3 linked regions of the Arabidopsis thaliana genome follow. The protein of the gene in region 3 binds, or shares a complex with, the protein of the main gene of each other region. Each region holds a gene or a part of one and is shown on either strand. Other genes may lie near its edges.

What was found. Proteins that work in one complex are often made in the same cells at the same time.
Region 1: TAF5 (region 3) and TAF4B share a complex: the UniProt entries of both Arabidopsis thaliana proteins name them as parts of the TFIID complex.
Region 2: TAF5 (region 3) and TAFII59 share a complex: the UniProt entries of both Arabidopsis thaliana proteins name them as parts of the TFIID complex.

What each region holds. Positions count from the first base shown.
Region 1 is NC_003070.9:9,642,851-9,648,963, forward strand, and holds TAF4B (TBP-associated factor 4B), read right to left. Parts: upstream 4,527-6,113; coding exon 4,485-4,526; intron 4,475-4,484; exon of another isoform or gene 4,366-4,474; coding exon 4,299-4,365; exon of another isoform or gene 4,029-4,298; coding exon 3,796-4,028; intron 3,706-3,795; coding exon 3,604-3,705; intron 3,352-3,603; coding exon 3,291-3,351; intron 3,161-3,290; coding exon 2,454-3,160; intron 2,228-2,453; coding exon 2,103-2,227; intron 1,951-2,102; coding exon 1,863-1,950; intron 1,778-1,862; coding exon 1,639-1,777; intron 1,547-1,638; coding exon 1,491-1,546; intron 1,405-1,490; coding exon 1,348-1,404; intron 1,269-1,347; coding exon 1,146-1,268; intron 1,057-1,145; coding exon 1,006-1,056; coding exon of another isoform or gene 991-1,005; exon of another isoform or gene 922-990; coding exon 762-921; intron 653-761; coding exon 501-652; downstream 1-500. Other genes in the region: AT1G27710 (Glycine-rich protein family), read left to right, coding at 1-338; STZ (salt tolerance zinc finger), read right to left, coding at 5,452-6,113. UniProt on the Arabidopsis thaliana protein: TAFs are components of the transcription factor IID (TFIID) complex that is essential for mediating regulation of RNA polymerase transcription.
Region 2 is NC_003070.9:1,402,585-1,409,074, reverse strand, and holds TAFII59 (TATA BOX ASSOCIATED FACTOR II 59), read left to right. Parts: upstream 1-1,543; 5' UTR 1,544-1,646; exon of another isoform or gene 1,647-1,869; 5' UTR 1,870-1,890; coding exon 1,891-2,016; intron 2,017-2,116; coding exon 2,117-2,203; intron 2,204-2,432; coding exon 2,433-2,534; intron 2,535-2,627; coding exon 2,628-2,736; intron 2,737-3,017; coding exon 3,018-3,118; intron 3,119-3,194; coding exon 3,195-3,332; intron 3,333-3,419; coding exon 3,420-3,515; intron 3,516-3,840; coding exon 3,841-3,965; intron 3,966-4,325; coding exon 4,326-4,458; intron 4,459-4,748; coding exon 4,749-4,874; intron 4,875-4,962; coding exon 4,963-5,469; 3' UTR 5,470-5,479; intron 5,480-5,634; 3' UTR 5,635-5,990; downstream 5,991-6,490. Other genes in the region: AT1G04960 (golgin family A protein (DUF1664)), read left to right, coding at 70-144, 246-278, 381-458, 561-617, 875-1,054; AT1G04945 (HIT-type Zinc finger family protein), read right to left, coding at 6,424-6,490. UniProt on the Arabidopsis thaliana protein: TAFs are components of the transcription factor IID (TFIID) complex that is essential for mediating regulation of RNA polymerase transcription. Required for proper pollen function. May stabilize the interaction of TFIID with selected promoters.
Region 3 is NC_003076.8:8,675,240-8,682,844, reverse strand, and holds TAF5 (TBP-associated factor 5), read right to left. Parts: upstream 5,797-7,605; 5' UTR 5,729-5,796; coding exon 5,553-5,728; intron 5,240-5,552; coding exon 5,158-5,239; intron 5,073-5,157; coding exon 4,994-5,072; intron 4,878-4,993; coding exon 4,780-4,877; intron 4,682-4,779; coding exon 4,625-4,681; intron 4,509-4,624; coding exon 4,421-4,508; intron 4,328-4,420; coding exon 4,218-4,327; intron 4,091-4,217; coding exon 3,983-4,090; intron 3,905-3,982; coding exon 3,753-3,904; intron 3,571-3,752; coding exon 3,460-3,570; intron 3,386-3,459; coding exon 3,316-3,385; intron 3,227-3,315; coding exon 3,190-3,226; intron 3,042-3,189; coding exon 2,886-3,041; intron 2,797-2,885; coding exon 2,720-2,796; intron 2,624-2,719; coding exon 2,507-2,623; intron 2,090-2,506; coding exon 1,824-2,089; intron 1,360-1,823; coding exon 1,264-1,359; intron 1,176-1,263; coding exon 1,103-1,175; coding exon of another isoform or gene 1,058-1,102; exon of another isoform or gene 844-1,057; coding exon 787-843; and 2 more. UniProt on the Arabidopsis thaliana protein: TAFs are components of the transcription factor IID (TFIID) complex that is essential for mediating regulation of RNA polymerase transcription.

The DNA.
Region 1 (6,113 bases), on a different chromosome or scaffold from region 3:
AACTCACAGCTGGTGGCTACGGCGGTGGAGGCCCGGGATATGGTGGTGGTGGATACGGTCCAGGTGGCGGCGGTGGTGGTGTTGTAATCGGTGGTGGATTTGGTGGAGGTGCCGGGTATGGTTCAGGTGGTGGTTTGGGTTGGGATGGAGGCAACGGAGGTGGTGGTCCAGGATACGGGTCAGGTGGAGGAGGTATTGGTGGTGGAGGAGGTATTGGTGGTGGAGTCATCATTGGCGGTGGTGGTGGAGGATGCGGAGGTTCATGCAGCGGAGGCGGTGGTGGTGGAGGAGGATATGGACACGGCGGAGTCAGCACGAAGGGATCAGGCAAAAACTAGAAAAAACATGCAGCTTGCTTTAGGTAGTGAAAGGAAGAAGAAATAAGGATGTACTTTAGCATCTTGATCATGTTTAGGAGTTTGTAATGGCATTAGTTTTAATGGAATAAGAACCTTTCTACAAAAAAAAATAAAGAATTGGTCCTATGTCTTTTCTTGGTTTCAAACATCCGAGCAGATTCTATTGTATACGCGATACAATAGCGTCGATCTTGACATCTGAGGCTCCTTTTCCACCACAGCGATCACATCCTTCACAGAGATTGACCGGACTACTTTTGGTAAACCTTGGTTCTTCCCAAATTGTGTACCACCTACATAAAGTTCGAATATGCAATTAGGAGCACGAAACACAAGAATAACCAGCAACAGAACTGAGAGATTTACTCTTTCAGATCATAGAAACGGGATTACCAATCTTACCAGAAAGTTTCTTGGAGTTTCTTCCTGGCCCTGGAGAAGATCTCTGACGTGCTTCAGCCATAAGTTTCCATTTTGAAAACCTATCATCTCCTCCAACGGCTGCACGAACAGCAACATTTGCAGCCTTGGCTCTCTCTTTATCTTCGTCCTTCTTATTTGCCTGACTTGTGATCAATAAACCTCTTTCAGTGTACGTATGTGTATATCTCCAAAGGTTTAGGTAGTTGGCTCAAGTTCTAAATACCTTCACTTCGTTTGAACGTTGGTCTTCTTTTTCAGTATCATTTTCTTTGTTCTACATCAATGAATATACAAAAAAAAAAAACTAGACATTACTACTGATAACTAAGACAAATAGATATTAAGCTCAGGACAAACCATTACCTTTTCTTCTCCAGAATGTTTCTTTTCCCATTCCTCTTTCACCTTCTGATTCATTTCATTAATTTCTTTCCGGATATCAGATGTGATAAAAGTCCGATTTCTACACTTCTCTGCATCAGTCCGCTGCAAAAGCTCTTGTAACTTCAGAAAGATTTAGGTACAACAAGATCTAAGGAGGCATGAGAAGAGAAAGTAGACTGACCTGCTTTGATATTCGTATTATATTAAACAGTAGTCCTCGCATCCTCTCCTCCACACACTGAATGCGCAAAGCCATGAGAAAAACGAAAACAAAAACAGGAAATTGAAGGCTAATAATTCCAAGAAAAGGTGTTAACATCTCACCAGAGACAAGCACCGCTCTACATCATGGTCTATATGCTTTAAACCACTTTTTCCCACTGTCATATATGAAAGCATACATAAACTTCTTCTCCAAGTGATTCCAAGTAAGGACCAAAGAAGCAGCTAAGATACGAGTTGAAACACAAACTAATTTCTGTCAGCTTTCTCTGCAGTGGAATTTTCTGCAAAAGCGTTCTTTCTTCCTCTCCATGCACAAGTCTTCGATATGCTTTAGAAACACGATCGTTCTTTTTAGGACCAGAATCTAATAATTGTTTTTCCTCTTCCTAGAACAGATGCAGAAAGTAATTTGGTTTATTGTTTCTCTATATCCAGGTTCAAAATGAGAAGTGTAGCAACTCGTAAACATACCCTGAGATTGATGCCACTGACTGCAGTGACATCATTAAACTTTTCAATACTTTCATCTGAAGAAGTCCCACATATTTTTTGCTTCTTTCTGTATATTAAAAAATACATAAGACTTCAATTTAGCAATTCTAAATTGTTAGTAAGGTAAAAAGGATATTATCAGAAAAGCAAAGAAAAAAGGAAGAGTAATTTATGGACGCTGTAAGTAGTTCATCTTTCACAAACCAGCCAGCTCATTACCTTGATGGTGGCAGCGAAGAACCTAGTGCCTCAAGAGGTTTCTTCTGACCAACAGAAGGCATTTTGGGTGTCACCGTAACATTAGCAATCTTGGGAATGGTCTCAGATGGGGCAGGCATATTAACCTGAAGTGTACACAAATAATTTTCACGTAAGATAGATAGTCCATTTACTCTTCACAACCAAAGTTCGAAGCCAGTACAAGGAGAAATAGAAGCCAGGGTGGTCCAAAATATAAGCAAAACGAAACCAAATGCAACATCGGTTGAAGAGAAATGGTCCCCCTATGAGCTTAAAGAGAAGATCAACCAAATTGAAATCTGTCTTTTGAAAGTATAATTTATAAGTTACCATCGTGCTAGAGTCCAGCTGTGTTGTCATTGAAGGAAAAACAGAGCTGGCAGAAGTGGTTGATGTGAATAAACCCATTTTAGAAGACTGCTTCTCCAAGTCATCATTTGAACTAATTGGAATAGCATTCTTCTGTTTCAGTGGAACATTAGTCACGCCTTGCTGCACCAAATAACGAGGTTTATGTGCCTGTTCAAAACTTTGATCAATCAATTTATGCTCCACATGGATCACTGATGAAGAAGGTCCCACTGTATGGTCCTTGGTGACTGATCCTTGCCAAGGAGCAGAATATAGAGGAAAGGATGAGTTCTTTGGGAAGTCGGATATAGGACCATCCTGAACCCTACTTGGACCATTTACAAAAGTTGGCCTCTCAAACTTGGGTACTGTCGTCATGTTTATTGTAGACTTGGTTGGTCCTCCAACACTGGCTATTCCCACATTCTGATTGTTTTCCCTATGCTGGAAATCAGGGAGCTTTGCTCTCGATGATGAACCAGGAGAAGTGACATTTGTCCCTGGGTATGGATTAAGACTTCCAGATTTGGTATCCATATGAAAAGAACTTGATGGAAGCTGCATGTGTTGCTCGGGATGCTTATTTAATCCCTGCACAGTAGTTGAACTGTTTAAGGTGCCTGAAGTTGTAGAAGACAGTTGGTTAACATGAACTTCACGAGGATCAGATTCTTGAGCAGTGAATTCTGCAGTTAATGATTGTATCTGGGATTAGTTTTGTATGCTACAAGGAAATCATAAGATAAGATCTACCAGAAAGTTAAGATGATCTATGATAATTGCAAAAGTAAATGGCATCAACTAAATAAGTTATACCAGCAGATTTAGACACTTTGTCATGGTTTGAGCGTCCAGGTACTTTGATCCCCATATTTCCCTGGTTACACATACAGTTCATTCTGAAACCAGTAAGCCACAATTCCAAGACAAGAAGTATTCAGCTTATACTATTAAAGTGAGAATTCTTTATGTTATTTCCTTTTTAATAAGGTTCAGAAGTGAGATTTCTTTCTCAGCACATGTTCATATACAGAGAAGGAAGCATATAAAACAAGAAACTCTCTTGGAGGCTGCTAAATGAAAATCATTAAAGTACTTATAAATGCTAAGAAAATGGAAAGGGTAATACCGGTTTTAACTGAGGCAGTTGGCTAATTACCGATCTGATTATCTGATCACCTACAAGATCTCTCAGTTGTCGCATGAACTCTTCCATTGTAAGTTCTTTTCTCTGCAATCAAGTATGAAAAGAAACGTAATGTATTAAGAAACTTCGATCAGAGTGCCAATTCATTCATGGATGTAAACTGTAAAGCCACACCTTGAGTTTATAATGCAGGTTAAGACAATGCGTCTTTTTGCCGGGTTGGTGGTCTACCACGGTACGAAGCAAATCAGTAACTCGTGCTAATCTAAGATTATGATTCACAGGGTCAACAGTCTTTTCCACCCAAGGAGTCTCTTTGCTACTCATCTTCTGCAGTTTCATATACCGAGGTTGCGGTTTTTCTGATTCATTACCAGTAGTATTGTTTATAGACTTCAAGTTACTTCCTTGGGGCACATGAGTTCAAGCACCAAAATCAATTATGAGTATGCTCTAATATTTTTCTATGACTAACCGTCACTAAAGCATCATCAAGAACTAACAATCTAATTGCATCCATCAACATTCAACAGTTAACATCAAGTGAAACATGAAGATACATGACAAACCACAAAAATACGACTCGTGAACCTAAATCACTAAAGAAATCTAAAGGCATTTCCCTGTTTTGATACATTCCACAGTTTCGCATATGAATTTTAGGGTCCAAAACGAACCTTCAATATCTCGAATCAGAGAGTCCTGAAACATTTGCAAGTCATCTTCCGAATGCTTAGAGTCAACCTAACGACACGATTAGCGGGAATCGACATTTAGGAGCTTCGTCCACAGAACAAGATAGCGCGTGGATTTTCGCAGACAGTACGGAAATGAAAATGAGAGTGGGAAATTCGAAACCTAACCTCTTCGTCTTCTTCGAGGAGCTTGACAATGGAGAGATCCATGGAGGAATCTCGCGGTACCAAACGTCAATAGCTCAAAACGAAGAGGGAATTTTCAAGGAAACGATTTGTTGTATCCAATAAGATTCCAAATTCCGCAAGTTTTTATATAAAGGGAGATTCTGCGAGAACACCGTGTCGTTTTTTCTTTTTGATAAAACACTGCGCGCCGTTCTGTTGATCTTCTTTTCGGTAGTTGTTTCTTTTGGATAAAACACTGCGCGCCGTTCTGTTCTTCTTTTCGGTAACTGGGCTTGTTCTTGTATATCAAAATTTATTTTTCTTGAATATAATGTTGGAGTTCTTAAACAGTTATTCATATTAGCATCAGACTTTTGCAAAAAAAAATTAATTAACTTTTAGATGAATTTTGATACACGTTTATGACCATTGAGTTTTGGACTTCCCGTAGATAATTCACCAAATTAAAGAAGGGATTATCTACGTTAATTAAACAGTGCTACTAAAGAAAACAAACGACCCGTCAAGAAAGGCTTTTTTCAATTGAAAGTTACGGTATTCTTTTGGTAAAAGAAAAATGAAAGTTGAGTTTTCTTTGGCAGTCTTCCGTAAGATATCACAACTCTTTTTATTTGCTTAGAGCTTTCCAAAATATAAGAAAGAACAATATGTGGATGGTAGTAGAAACTAGAACGTTCTTGATTATGCTTAATTGTGTTATAAATTTTTTGAAAAAAACAGAACCAAAAACAGAGTTGTAGTGGTGTCACTTTATGCTTATTCAGATAAAAAAAAGACTCAACGCGTTTGTAAAATATGTGGTAAAGAATCGGTTTAATAATTTTTAAAATGAAAGAACAAGAAGAATTGGAATCAGTCAAAGTCCAATTTGGTATGTACAGTCAACAAATTCCTACACAACTCTCAACAGTATACAAACGAAATCTTATCGTCTAAGTAAATTTCCTTAAAGTTGAAGTTTGACCGGAAAGTCAAACCGAGGCTTCTTCGCCGGCATAGGGCTCATGACTTCGTCGTCTCCGTTGACCATCGAGAATTCAGGGATCGGAGGGATGTTGAGGTCAAACCCACGGTGGCTACTGCTAACGTGGCTAGTGGACCCCGCACCTTCGGAGTTGGACACGCTACTAGTGTTGATGTTGTTGTTTCCTTCGTAGTGGCACCGCTTGTGTCCGCCGAGAGCTTGACCGGAAGGAAAAGACTTGTTACAGATGGTGCAAACGTGTGATTTCCCACTTCCAGTAGTCACGGCGGATGTGGTTGTCGCCGACGAGGTTGAATGATCATCTCCTCCGCCGGAGAGAGTCTGTGATAAGTTCTTACGGTGGCTTGCCTTGTGACCACCGAGAGCTTGGTAAGAAGAGAACGTCTTGTCGCAGACGCTACACTTGTAGCTCAACTTCTCCACCGCCGGAGGAGGAGGAGGCTGACGGTTGTCGCGAGCGAGAAGCATGAGGCAAAAAGCTAGATACTCTTCCTCAGTGAGGTTTTGGTGGTGGAAATCGGATCTTGATCTCTTAGATCGCTTACCCTTTGTCCAGTGCTCGACTCCATGGAAGACTGAAGAATCTTCGAACAAAGGAGGAATCGGAGAAGCTAATCTTGGTG
Region 2 (6,490 bases), on a different chromosome or scaffold from region 3:
CTCCATCTATGCCTTTCTTTGATATTCATTTTAATGCTAATGCTCACATGGAATCTTGCTTCAATTCAGGTTACTGAGATGAGATCAAGCATTTCGCAAATTGGGTTTGATTTTAAGCAACTTAATGAAATGATTTCTGGAATAGTAAGTCTCATCATTGCCCTCTAATATGCATCATTGCCCTCTAATATGCATATTTTAAAGGGGCTAATATATCTTTACTCTCTTATATGAAATTTTTACAGGAAGGGAAGATTGAAAGTCTTGAAAGCAAACAAGTAATTTGTCTACAACCATTAGATACTACAAACCACTTCACGCTATCAATTTTCTTAAAACTAATTGATCTCAAACAGATATTTTTTTTGTTAAAATTTTAGGATGTGACCCTCTCTGGACTATGGCATCTATGTCAAGTTGCAGGCGTTAAAGACAGCACAAGTACTAAAGTATTTCAGGTGAGTGTTAACTTACAAATTAAGTGAAACGTTTTCTTACTTATTTTTCACGTAGTTATAGGCCTTAATGAAAAAAATCTTGTTTCTGGCTTTGTGGTTTAGGATGTTGGTGAGAGATTACCTATTGATGGAAAACCATCCACTAATACTTCTCTCTCTGTAAGAATGCTACTATACCTTTTTCCATCATATAAATGTGCATTTCCATTCTGTTGACGCAAAAAAGTTGCTTATAGTGAAAAAATTCAACGAGATGGTTGATCTTGAATTTGCATATATTCAAGGCAATCTCTCATCAAGCTTATTCGAATAAAAATTGGAACCTGAAAATACTTGTGGTAGTAGCTGTTATTTGATGATTTCATGTCATGATGTTTCTTTGGCTTTCTAAAACTATAAAACTATGGAAACTCCAGGGTCTGCGGTTTCTGACGGAAGGCAAAGAGGATGCAAATGTAATACACAAGCCGGTTATGGCGAAAGAAATTATGGTGATGGGGGAAAAAACAAAAGTCACTGCAGCGGGAAGAAGCAGAGTTCATAGAGCGTTTCCAGGTGGAATATCTTGGGTACGGGATGTTTCAGGACTATCCTAATATTATTTTGGTTGATATACAAAGAAATTGCTTGTATTCGTCCCAAATTCTGATACTGGGACTGGCAATTATTTTTTCATGTAAAAAGAAGAAAAATCTACATATGTTATTGCATCCACCAACAATTTGGTTTGCCCCTAATTATATTTGGTCTTGATGTTTGTAAAGAAAGAGTGTGATTAAGGCTTTCACGTATGTTGATGTCTTCATTGATTTGGACTTTTGTGCTCCTTTTTCCTTTTGTGTTTGGATCAATTTTGTTTGTGTAGAAAATAGAAAGAACTACCACAGAAGACAGAACTACTGTCTTGAAACATTTGTTTCGTCCTTTCTCGTAGGATTAATTGTCTTTAGTTGGCAGAGAAATAAAATATTTCGCTCTTATTGGGCCTTGGCCCAAAATAGATATAGAGACAGCCCAAATTTAATTTAACCCGAAATAGTCCAACCGGGTGAATTTGACAGCAATTAAAAAACCCGGCCCGGCTTCTTATATTAACAAGAGGCTTGGCATCGGTTAATCGGAGCTTCTTTCCTCTCAAGTGAAGTGTCTGGATCTTCGTCGCTCAACGCAAATCCCTCTCCGGTTCATGTAAATTTCCAACTTATTTTTGTGCTCGAATTTTGGTTAACGGGACAAATTTCACACTTTTACGGAGTATGGAAGCAGCCTTTGTCTTCTGGGCTGTTGAATTGCGATTCATTGTGTATGCCCAACAATGGTTTAATTGGGAGGTTCCAATGATTTTTTGTGCTTTTTTCTTACTTAATATAACCACTGTTGATGTTTCTTCTGTGTCCTTGTATCGCCACAGTGGATAAGCAGCCTGGGGAAGATGAGCATTGTACCTAAGGAAACGGTTGAGGTAATAGCTCAAAGTATTGGGATTACCAACTTGTTACCTGAAGCTGCTCTTATGCTTGCTCCTGATGTTGAGTATCGTGTCCGAGAGATCATGCAGGTTACCTTCTTTTTCTAATCATGTCTTTGTGTTCTTGAGGTGAGTTTTCTGGTATCAGCATATTGATCTTTCTGTACCTTCTCTTTGGATGTCCTTTCAGGAAGCTATCAAATGCATGCGTCACTCAAAGAGAACGACTTTAACAGCTTCGGATGTAGATGGTGCTCTCAACTTAAGGAACGTTGAGGTACAAACTCGATGACCTATTTCTTACTTCCCATTATCTAGAGTTTTGGTTGTGTAAGCTTCCTGGTTTTTGTAGTTGAGTGACAAAGATATATGGTTTCTAGTTTTGAGGTTTGGCTTTACTGGTGCATATGAATAACACCATCTGTTACACATTGCTTTCACATATTTCACTATTGTAGTCAACTGAATCAAAGGCATCTTTTTGAGAGTGATTATATCTATTGCAGCCGATATATGGATTTGCCTCAGGAGGGCCATTTCGTTTTAGAAAAGCTATTGGACATCGCGATTTGTTCTACACTGATGACAGAGAAGTGGATTTCAAAGATGTAAGATGTTGGAAAAGCTGGCATGTTTTTTTTGTTTCAGTTAAATTCTTCATTTTGGGTTCCTTATGTTTTCAAGAAATGTCATGATTCTAGGTGATCGAAGCCCCGCTGCCAAAAGCTCCCCTTGATACTGAAATTGTTTGTCACTGGCTGGCTATTGAAGGAGTGCAACCAGCTATACCAGAAAATGCTCCTTTAGAAGGTTTGTCTCTCAATCTTATGCCCTGGGCTAGAGTTGTAAAGTCATTATATGAATTTTTCAACATGAAACAAATATTAGTATGTACAATGACGTTTCAGAGGTGTATAAACCTCTTTCTACAGTTACCCCGTGTTAAGTGGTGAGCTTACTGATGTTACTGAAAGATCAAAATACATATTTTCAGATCCATCTGTATTATTGTTTTGCGGATCCGCATGAGCAAGAAATCCTTGTTCTTTCCTATCTTGACTATATTTTTCACTTGTTTGTGTTGTCTCTAGTCATTAGAGCACCTGCAGAAACCAAAATCCATGAACAAAAAGACGGACCTCTTATTGACGTTAGGCTACCAGTGAAGCATGTACTATCTAGGGAACTTCAGGTATATGGTGCAGTCTAAATATCATAGGGTAATATCCTTACATACATAGGACTTATCTGTTGTTCTCTCTTCACAGTTATACTTCCAAAAGATTGCTGAACTTGCAATGAGCAAGTCAAATCCTCCTCTGTATAAAGAAGCATTAGTGAGCTTGGCCTCAGACTCAGGACTTCATCCTCTAGTTCCATATTTTACAAATTTCATTGCTGATGAGGTAACATTATGCACCACCGAGGAACTAGTGTGAACCAATAAGACCCACGTTAAGTTTTTGCAGTTTTAATTTTCTCCACTTGTGCAGGTTTCAAATGGCTTAAATGACTTCCGACTCCTGTTTAATCTAATGCACATTGTTAGAAGTCTTCTACAGAATCCTCACATACACATAGAACCTTATGTAAGTTTTCTCTGGATTATCTTTTGCCACTATCTAAAAAATTGTAGAATCATGTAGCTCCATTTTCTTTAGGCTTCTGATTTGGGTTTCTTCAAGTTCTATATTAGACATATTCTATATAATGGGTATCAAATGGTTAGTGGTAGTGTTTGTCCGAGGTCTGCAAGCTCGAGTGCTTAAGTACTCTCAGTCTGCTTGAAATAACAACAAGTTTTGCCTTTGATCTGTATTGAGATTATGTAAACCAGCCTTGGGATAATGAGTTGGTTGTTTGAGCAATGTTTCATAACCATGAAGCTGAGTGAACTTTTTCTTTTGGTGCCAGCTGCACCAGTTGATGCCATCTGTTGTAACATGCCTTGTATCAAGAAAGCTTGGAAATAGATTTGCTGACAACCACTGGGAACTCAGAGATTTTGCGGCAAATCTGGTTTCACTGATATGTAAAAGGTTCATTATTTCCCTTTCATGTCATGAACTCTGTGTTTGTTTTGGTTGATTGTGGGGATCTATACATGATTTCTTACTGGAGCTAATAATGAAATTCTATAAGGAAATATCATGAGATGATTATCCATAGATGTTCTGCTAAGTTTATCTTGTTTGATCTCTTTACTATTGATATCTACTTCTTTTTTGCTCGAGCTGAAAAACAAATGGTTAGATCTATATTAACAACAATTAGTAATAACTTGCTATAGTCTTCTTCATTATTTAAAAGGGTACATTGTCTCGCACTTTTATTTTACATATCTCACCTTTATATTCTTTTAGCATCTGAAATCCTGTGATTTTAATAAAATCTTGCAGGTATGGAACCGTTTATATAACTCTTCAGTCTCGTCTTACCAGAACTTTAGTCAATGCACTGCTGGACCCAAAGAAGGCTTTGACTCAGCACTATGGTGCGATTCAAGGATTAGCAGCTTTGGGGCACACTGTTGTAAGTCATTCCTTGACCTTTCAGAAAGTTTGTGCATGCTATTTCAGATATCACCGAGAAATAATGTTACCCAGCTTGTCCTTCAATCTAGGGACTTTTCAGAATCTGAGATACAATTTGATTTGCCCATACCATTTTTCCGGGTTTGCTTATTCATTTTATTGGGAAATTAGGACTTTTATCGTCTTAAACGGCTACTCCAGTGAATCAGATACCCCTGCTACCAAAAACTTTAGCACAGCTATCCTGCATTGTTATCTGTTGTCATCTGAATGTCATATATTGTGTAGGTACGCCTTCTTATTCTATCAAATCTCGAACCATATCTAAGTCTTCTCGAACCTGAATTGAATGCTGAGAAGCAAAAAAATCAGATGAAGATCTACGAAGCTTGGCGTGTATATGGAGCCTTGCTGGTTAGTAAACACATCCTTGTAAAATTTCATCTTTGTAGAATTCTCAGTGGACAATCCTTAGATGGACTTGCCCCCTTTTTCTTTTCAGCGTGCTGCAGGCTTGTGTATACATGGCCGGCTTAAAATCTTCCCACCTTTACCATCTCCGTCACCAAGTTTTCTCCATAAGGGAAAGGGAAAGGGAAAGATAATCAGTACTGATCCCCACAAGCGGAAGCTGAGTGTAGATTCTTCAGAAAACCAATCACCGCAGAAAAGATTGATAACCATGGATGGGCCAGATGGTGTACATTCACAAGATCAATCTGGCTCAGCTCCAATGCAAGTAGATAATCCAGTGGAAAATGACAATCCGCCACAAAACTCTGTTCAGCCATCCTCATCAGAACAAGCCTCTGATGCTAACGAATCTGAAAGCAGAAATGGAAAGGTGAAAGAAAGCGGCAGGAGTCGGGCTATTACCATGAAAGCAATCCTTGATCAGATATGGAAAGATGATCTTGATTCCGGACGGCTATTGGTGAAACTGCACGAACTCTATGGTGATAGGATTCTTCCCTTTATCCCTTCTACAGAGATGTCAGTATTCCTCTAACCAATAAGAGGTGAGCTATTCTATTCCCCAACTTCCTGATATTTACCTCATCGATATAAAACTCATGGTTCCAGTCGTGAATGCAATAAATATGTGAAATCAAAAGAATAATGATACTCAATACATTAATGCTAATGAAATAGATGTTTGATGATTTTCAAGCAGAGAAGGAGGCTTGGAGAGATTAAAGCGCCGTCTGGTTGGCATACATAAACTCATTTAGATCCGTGCCATTGTTCTCAGGTCAACTCTTTAGTTCTTCTTTTTAAGCTTGAGGGATTTCAAAGTCCTTAGGAGCCTGCAGAGTGGGTTGAGTTGAATTGAACCGGTTGCAATGTATATATTAAGAGAATTTTAATGATTCCGTAGTGGACTTATTTGTTTACTCTCAAATGTAATCCATGAAATAATTTCTCTTCAAATCTGTATGATCTAGATTGCAATTTTTGATATTGTTGTTTACATGTATGCTCTCTTGCTTATTTACTCTTTACATATAATATCCGTTCATAGATTATATCTATTGTTGATCCTTCTGGTCCGTTGCTAGAAAACTTTTGGGCAAACTACAAGGTTTGGTCTGTATTACATTGACTATAAAGAAGATCTGAAAGACAACAAGATTAATTTATGAGGATCTATAGGAGGATAAGACTGAACAAAAGTTTCGGAGACATTCTTAAGTTAACTATCTTGTATGTAAACAATCAAGTTTGCTACAAACCACAGAACAGCCTAGTAATCTGGTTTACTACAAAAGAAATACCTGTTGATCAAAGCCCAGACCGAAAACTTATGACCATCAGTGCTGTGGCTTATTGCATTCCAGTAAAAGCTTTGGCTATTACCAAGTATAGCTAATGTGCTCGAACAAGAGAGCTTCAGGCATGAACATAATCCTCAAAAATGTTTCACAGAGAGTAATTCCTTTTTGCCAGAACAAGACTATGACCATCATTCGACGATTTCCCCTTCTTCTAAATCTAGTCCATCAGCGATGAAATCAGTATCTAAATTTTGG
Region 3 (7,605 bases):
TCATATAAGAAGATAACGAGTACCACATTCCCACATATAATTCCAAATGTAGACAATTGTCTAGTCACACAACCAAATCTACTTTTGGTAGATTTTATGTCTCATCCAAAATTTTGATGCAAATGTCTTTCAAAACATGTTTTTTTCTTTCTTTTCTTCTTCAGCTCTCAATTTTATTTTATTTTTGTCGTCAGCTCTCTATTTATTTAAGTACCGTCTCTAGAAATTAGGAGAATTAAATGTTTTCACAAAATAAAAAATATGTTAGTATCTGAAAAGTTTCTAAAAAATATGTTCTCTAAGAAAAAACATAATTCACAACATACCACATAACCACCCACCCTGTCTTAAGAAAGATTTCTCTCGACACACGATGTCTTTTTGGGGAGATTCATTACATGTTTCTATTTTATTAACGTTATAAATTTTGAGAATATTTGGTTGTTGTTCTTTGCCTTATTCATTTCGAGTAGGTTTTGATTCATGATAGAGGTGACATGCTTAAACTAGGGTGTTTATTAGAAGGAAGAATGTGGCTTTGACATGCTTAAAGTAAATCTGCTCCAAGTCGAAGATAAGTGATTCCTGGATTGGGACACATGGCATACATAAGCAGGAGTAGTTGTTCATTAAAAGAATCTTCAACATTTTTGGGATTTAGAAATGAGAAACAAAAGCCACAAGCAAATAATCTTTGGAGATAACTATTCTACACCTGATTTCTTCTGAGATCTACAACAGCTTGTAAGAATGTTAAAGCATCAATATCTGATACCATTGTTTTGATCAGTTTGCGGGTTTAGAGATCGCTCCTGCAGCAAACAACAAATTTCTCCGAGAAAACTGCATCAATGTAAAACATGAGTTTTAGTGTATGCCTCGATCAACGAATCCTAGGTGTTAGAGGAAAGGTTCTATATGATACTGATGGATAAAATCTGTTTGGCACACACCCTGAAACTTTGGTTCTAATCAAGTGTTTGGTCACTCATTATCGGGATGTGTTGATCACAAGCACAACATGATAAACTTAGGGATGAGAGAAATACCACGGTGTTTAGAGAATGGTGGAATTAATTCTAGTAAAGAAAGCATAACTTACCCGGAGAGCGTGAACTGGTGTGGACTTGGTGGGGAAAGTCCTGAGTGAGCGCAATCTGTTCGAGTTTCCATTCCTGATCAATCACAAATGATAAATCGTTTTTAACAAAACAATCTACCATTCAAAGGGAACAACAATACAACTTGAAAGAGCAAACTCACTTTTCCTCGGCCTTTGTCAATTTGGTACTTGAAGTGACGTCCCACAGTTTCACTGTGCAGTCTGCGGATCCAGAAGCCAGAAGAGAGCCCTCCCCGCTGAAACAGGAAAACAGGTTAGTCATAAATTGTAGTAGTTCTATGATTTATCAAAGTGGAGTTTACGGTTCCAATATTCCAAGCAAGTGGATTTTACCAACCAAAACCAGTCATTCCATTAACGACCCAACACATTAGGCCTATACAACATTCCACAACCCATGACAAGAACCCTATGTTAGAGCTAACACAAGAGTGCGTGGATATAGAAAAATCTACCAGTTCAGTAGTAAGTCACTGTAGAATTAATAGAAATAGCCACACCATACCACTCTATATCATAACCCTGAACTACCCTTTAAAAAATGTTGTCCTAGAAGAAATTCCAGAGATGATAAAGCATATCAACCAAAACCAATAGTTGGCTGAAAAAAGGATCATATTACGTTTTCATTGTGTATTACTAACTCAATAAAAGTTGAATGATCAAATAAAGCTATTTTCTTCTTCTCTTGACACCTCACCTGTATGAGAGACTCCAGACACATGAATTATGGCCCATGAGAGGAGTGATGCAGCGAGCAGTTGAGAGGTCCCACATCATTATAGTGCCATCTTCATCACCGGAAGCCATATATCTCCCATCTGGAGACATCGCCAATGATAAAACCATACTCCTGTGCCCAATGAATATCCGGACACATTCTCCAGTTTGCACATCCCAGAGTCTAACCGTCTTATCACTACTACCGGTAGCAATGTAGTTACAATTGGGATGCCACTGTACACACTGAAATCAAATGCATTTGACAAGTACAACGAAAGTCGCATCAATAGGTATCCAAAGAAAAATTGAAGTTACTGATCTGACTTAATGTCAATCCAAATAGTTAAGTAATCCATCGTAACCTTATGACTTTAAGCGTATTGGCTAACAATCTTTGGATCAACTATAAACTGGACGATTCTTAAATTATGAATGTCAGGGTCACGTTAAAATAACAAGTGGGTACTAATCTAAGTCAATAAACAATGTAAAATGTTAGATAAACCATTGTAAACATTGATACGGTGAATTAATGACTTCAATTGCATAATAAAACGTTTTAAGAAATTTATCCATGCATTTAATTAACAACTCAATTGGTCCCTTCGATTTAACCTTTGCAAATTAAACCCAAACAATGAAGATGAGGGAGACACTCACATCAACATCAGATAGATGCCCTGCCATTATCCGAAGAGGTTGTATTCGGTCCATTGACCAAATCCGTGCAGTACGATCATGAGAACAGCTTGCAAAGTAATGACCGAAAGGGCTAAACTGCACCATAAAATGAGTATATAATATATATACATGTCCAGCCACCATAAATTGCAGGTTATGTAAGAAACATGGGTTAAATTGAATTAACTATACCTGGGCATCCCATACAGGGTAATTATGACCCTTGTAGCACACGAGATTAGCATTTAGTTTTGTGCTCCACAGTCGTACTGCACTTATGAATACAGGGTTGGTAACTAAAAAAGTCTGAACTAATGAGCCAGTGTATGGATTTGTAAAGTGATGGACAGATACATACTTGTTGTATCTGCTGAAGAAGATAGAACAAAATCTCCAGGGGGACTGAAAGTGGCTGAGTAAACTGGCCCTGAATGACCCAGTAATAATGTATAACTTCTTCTGCCATTTGGTCCTATGCTTTGATCACTTGAATCATTTTCAGCCTGCAAAGCACCTGGAACCAGACAGCTTAGTGTCTATAACTCTCATGGAAACAAAAACAATCATTATGAGAAATCAACAAAAATGACAAGCGAAACGTATGAGATAAATATCATTCTTAAACGTGGATGTCAATACAATTTTTCAGAGAATTAACATACCACTGCCAGCTTGTCCTATCTTAGCCATGTCCCAGACCTGAACACCATAATTGTCACTTGGCATCATTTAAGAGAGGAAGAAAACAAAAAAAGGGAAATGTATCCAACCATCCGAGAATAACATACCTTTATTGAAGAATCTGAGAACCCACCAGCAACCAGAGATCCATCATGAGATATAGATGAACAGTTTAACCTGGGGGAGAATAAAAGAGTGAGTAACAAGGTTGCAAATAAGTAGTTAAAATTAGGAGGAGAGGTGGACATTACCCGTTATGAGTATTCACAAATGTATAAAAGCTGACTGATGGCATTGCAACACTACTCAACTGCACACGGTTTCTAAGGTCTTCAAGGATGGATTGCTCTACATCTGTGGACCTGACAGAGAAAACAAGGAGATGGAGCAAAATTGATTTATGTTAAAGGAGGTTGAGTCTTTGACAAATACAAAGACTATGTTCATTTCTCCTAAACAATCATGCATCACCCATAGATATCACATGTTCATTCCTTTTTAATCAAATCCCAACACAAAAAATGGGTAAGGGATTCGAAAGTACATTACTGGCAAGGCAAGTTCTGGTTTTACACGCGGCGCCGGTGACACCGTAATGGTCTCCAGACGTGCAACTTTTGCTGTTGCATTACCCGCTTTGTCCTTCTTCAACTTTTTTAAGGAAGAGCCTTGCTTTCCAATTTCAGTGGATCTTTTCTGTACACAGAATCAATTGACGAGTAAAAACGGGATTTCAGTTCAGAAATTATTGACTAAGTTGAAGCTATGTATCACCTTACTATCATCTGCATCCCCGTCTTTACTTTCTCCTTGTCCCTTCTCAGAATCAGACAGCAGACCTCCTGTCTTCTCAAGGCGATCTTCTAGTGAATCTTCAAGCAACTGTAAAAGAAAAATGCATATGTAGCTATTAACTACGCAAATATGTTATCATCCCTGGGATGAGGCATCAACATGTTATAACTCTGGAAAAATAGAAGAGAAAAGAAACTTTAGGGGAAATACGTACTCCCCACTGTATTTCTTTTTGATTAATGTGATTAGCAGTGTCCTGAAAACTCCCGACAATGGTGACAGCTTCTATGTCATCGGATGAGGAAGTAGGCTGTCCCGAGTAGACTGCAACAAATTATCCATGACCAATTGATTCAATTTTCTACTCAAAAAACTGCTACAAGCTATCGCATATATAAGAGAAAGAAACACATTTACCTTGGAAATTGATGTGCTCGTTAATAATACCAAGCATTAAAGTCGATACTGTACTATGTAGATACTGAAGTAACAGCTCATATGAATACTGCAACATTCAGTAAGCATATTAGAGGTCTGCAGTCACGGAATTCAGTTAATCAGACCAGAAACCTCGAAGCAGTTGCCTATTACAGCTACTAGTCAATTTTCACTCAAGTCTACCTGACAAAACTTGATGTTAACCTTGCTTTTTCTAAGAGAACGAGCAAACTCCATCTCCTGATAAGAACCAAGATCATAAGAAAGATAATAACCAAAAAAAAAAAAAAAAAAATCCATTATCAATATTATATGACCATATAAGGTTTATCATAAACCTCTAGATGAGATGGAGAAAGCACGCCTTCAAGCTTCTGAAGATCCCGTAAGTGTACCATCTCATGATCTTTGCGGAAGCTGTTAAAGAAGGCTCTAGCTGGAATACAAGAGACGTATTATTTCCCACAGTAGCATAAGTCACTGTTTCCAAAAATCTTATACCGAAGGTAAAAAAAATACTCAGTACATCTAATTTGCTATATTGACAAGTACCTTCTTGAGTGTGCCCTTTCCCCACCAGATCCATGTAACAATGAATAAACACAGGATACATCACTCGAAGCAATTCATGCTACAAAATTAGAATCATCTCGTCAGTTCAATTAAGCCTGTCTCTACCCAAAACAGCCAAGGGATACACAAAAAAAAATCCCCACCTTATATAAATCCAGAGAATTATACGCCCATGACCTTAGTTTGCTGTAACCTTCACGGTACCGAGTTGGATCATCTTCTTGTCTGCAAACAAAAGAACAGACATTTCATTACCATTAGCTCTCTCTACATAAGCCATACAAAAAAACCTAATTTCTTGCCACTGAGATGTCATCAAAATCTTAAATTTGACAGATAAACTGATAGAAATATTCACATAAACTTCACCCAGAAAGTGAATTATATTCATTTTTAGATTCTCAAAAACGTTGGAGCTTACATAATTTTTCCTTACGGTTTTCAAAATTCACAAAAGACACTAAAACTTTCCCAAAAATTCAAAACACAATTCGCATTAAGAATTGAAACGAGAGAGAGAGATAGGGAGAGAGATTACTGAGAAAAGGAGCGAATGAGCTTCGTGAGCTCAGGATCGTTATGATAATCGACAGAAGTGAAGGAGCTACCATTATTGTTCTGGTGATGATAAGATTCAAGGTCTTTAGCAGCGCTACTGAATCCTTTCTTCTTCAAGTAGCCCACGACGAACTCGTTGATTTGCTCTGGATCCATTGTTGTCTCTCTCTCTCTCTCTCGATTCAATTTCCTCTCCTAGAAACTTGTATCTCGTCGCTGAAACATCTTCAGTTTTTTAGATTCCGTGTCTCTACAAAACTGGGCCTGTTTCAATGGCCTAATTGTGGCCCAAATATAATAATTTCAAAGTTATGATTAAAACCAGGCCCGTCTATGGGGGTGGCAGGTTGGGCAAATGCCCAGATTCAAAATTTACTAAGAGTTTTTGAATTATAAGCCCATGACCTTACTTTGATGTAAAATCTCATAACCATTTTCTTTTTAAATTACTTGCTTTGGATTCTCTATTTCAACTTAAAGATTGGGACAAGATACCAATATTTATTGTTTGAGTAATTAATTCTTACAGAATTATTGAAAATTATCCAAAAAAATGTTATCTTCTCAAAATTTCTAACTTTTATTTAAAAAAAAAAATAACTTTCCAAAACACCCAGTTTAAAAATATTTAAACAATAATTCTTAAATCAAATGTTACAATGGTTAAACTAAACACTTGCAACAATTTATTGTATATAAGACAAGGTCAGTTATTTCCTCCCACAATGGTTAACTCGTTTTCTAAAAATATATTATAAAATTTTGGATATCAAATAATCAAGAAAAATTCTTTCAAATGCCCTTTTCATGATGCCCCTTTTCAACTCTACCCTTTTGTTTTATCCATTTTTATTTATATTCTCTTTAAATTTTTAATTACCATTTTACCCTTATTTGGAAATTGTTTTAGGTTAACAAAATGAAATATTAATATTTTTTCGCCTAAAATATTCTAAAATAAATTTCCCGCCAAAATTTTCCCGCCAAACCTTTTCGAAAAAAATTCCCACCAAAAATTTTTGAAAAACATTTCCCGCCAAATTTTGTTTTCAAAAATATTTTTCCCGTCAATTTTTTTTTTTGGCGGGAAATAGATTTACAAGGAATTTTAAAAGAGTTTTAAAAGATTTACAAGGCAATTTAAAGGGGTTTTATAAGATTTACAAGGGATTTTAAAAGGGTAATTTACAAGGGATTTTAAAAGGTTTTTAAAAGATTTACAAGGGATTTTTAAAAGGGTTTTAAAAGATTTACAAGAGATTTTAAAGGGATTTAAAAGATTTACAAAGGTCTTTTAAAGATTTTTAAAGGGTTTAAAATTGTTTTAAAAGGATTTTAAAATATTTACAAGGGATTTTAAAAGGGTTTTACAATATTTACAAGGGATTTTAAAGGGTTTTAAAATATTTACATAGGATTTGTAAAGATTTTTAAAGGGTTTAAAAGTGTTTTGAAAGATTTACAAGGGATTTTAAAACCTTTTAAAATTACTTGTAAATCTTTTAAAACTCTTTTAAAATCTCTTGTAAATCTTTTAAAACTCTTTTAAAATCTCTTGTAAATTTTTTAAAACTTTTTAAAAATCTCTTGTAAATCTTTTAAAATCCTTTTAAAATCCCTTGTAAATCTATTTGGCGCTAAAAAATATTTACAAGGATTTTTAAAATATTTTTTTTGGCTGAGGAAAAATTTTTTACGAAAAAAAAATTTGGCGGGAAATTTTTTTGTTGGCGGGAATTTTTTTTTTTGGTTGGAAAAAAGTTTGGCGGAAACTTTTTTTTGGCGGGAAAAAAAATATTTTGGCGCCAAAAAATTGGCGGGAAAATTTCAGTTTCCAATTACATGTTTTTATTAGATGAGGGTAATTTGGTCATTTTGTTCAAGGGGAGAGATATTTTTAAAAATGGACAACATGAAAGGGTATTGTTGCAAAAGGGTAGTAAAAAAAGGCTAGTTTTGCAAATCTCCCAATAATCAATACATATAATTTTCAAGAACCAATCAAGTCCTTATATAGTGAAAAACTAGTATTT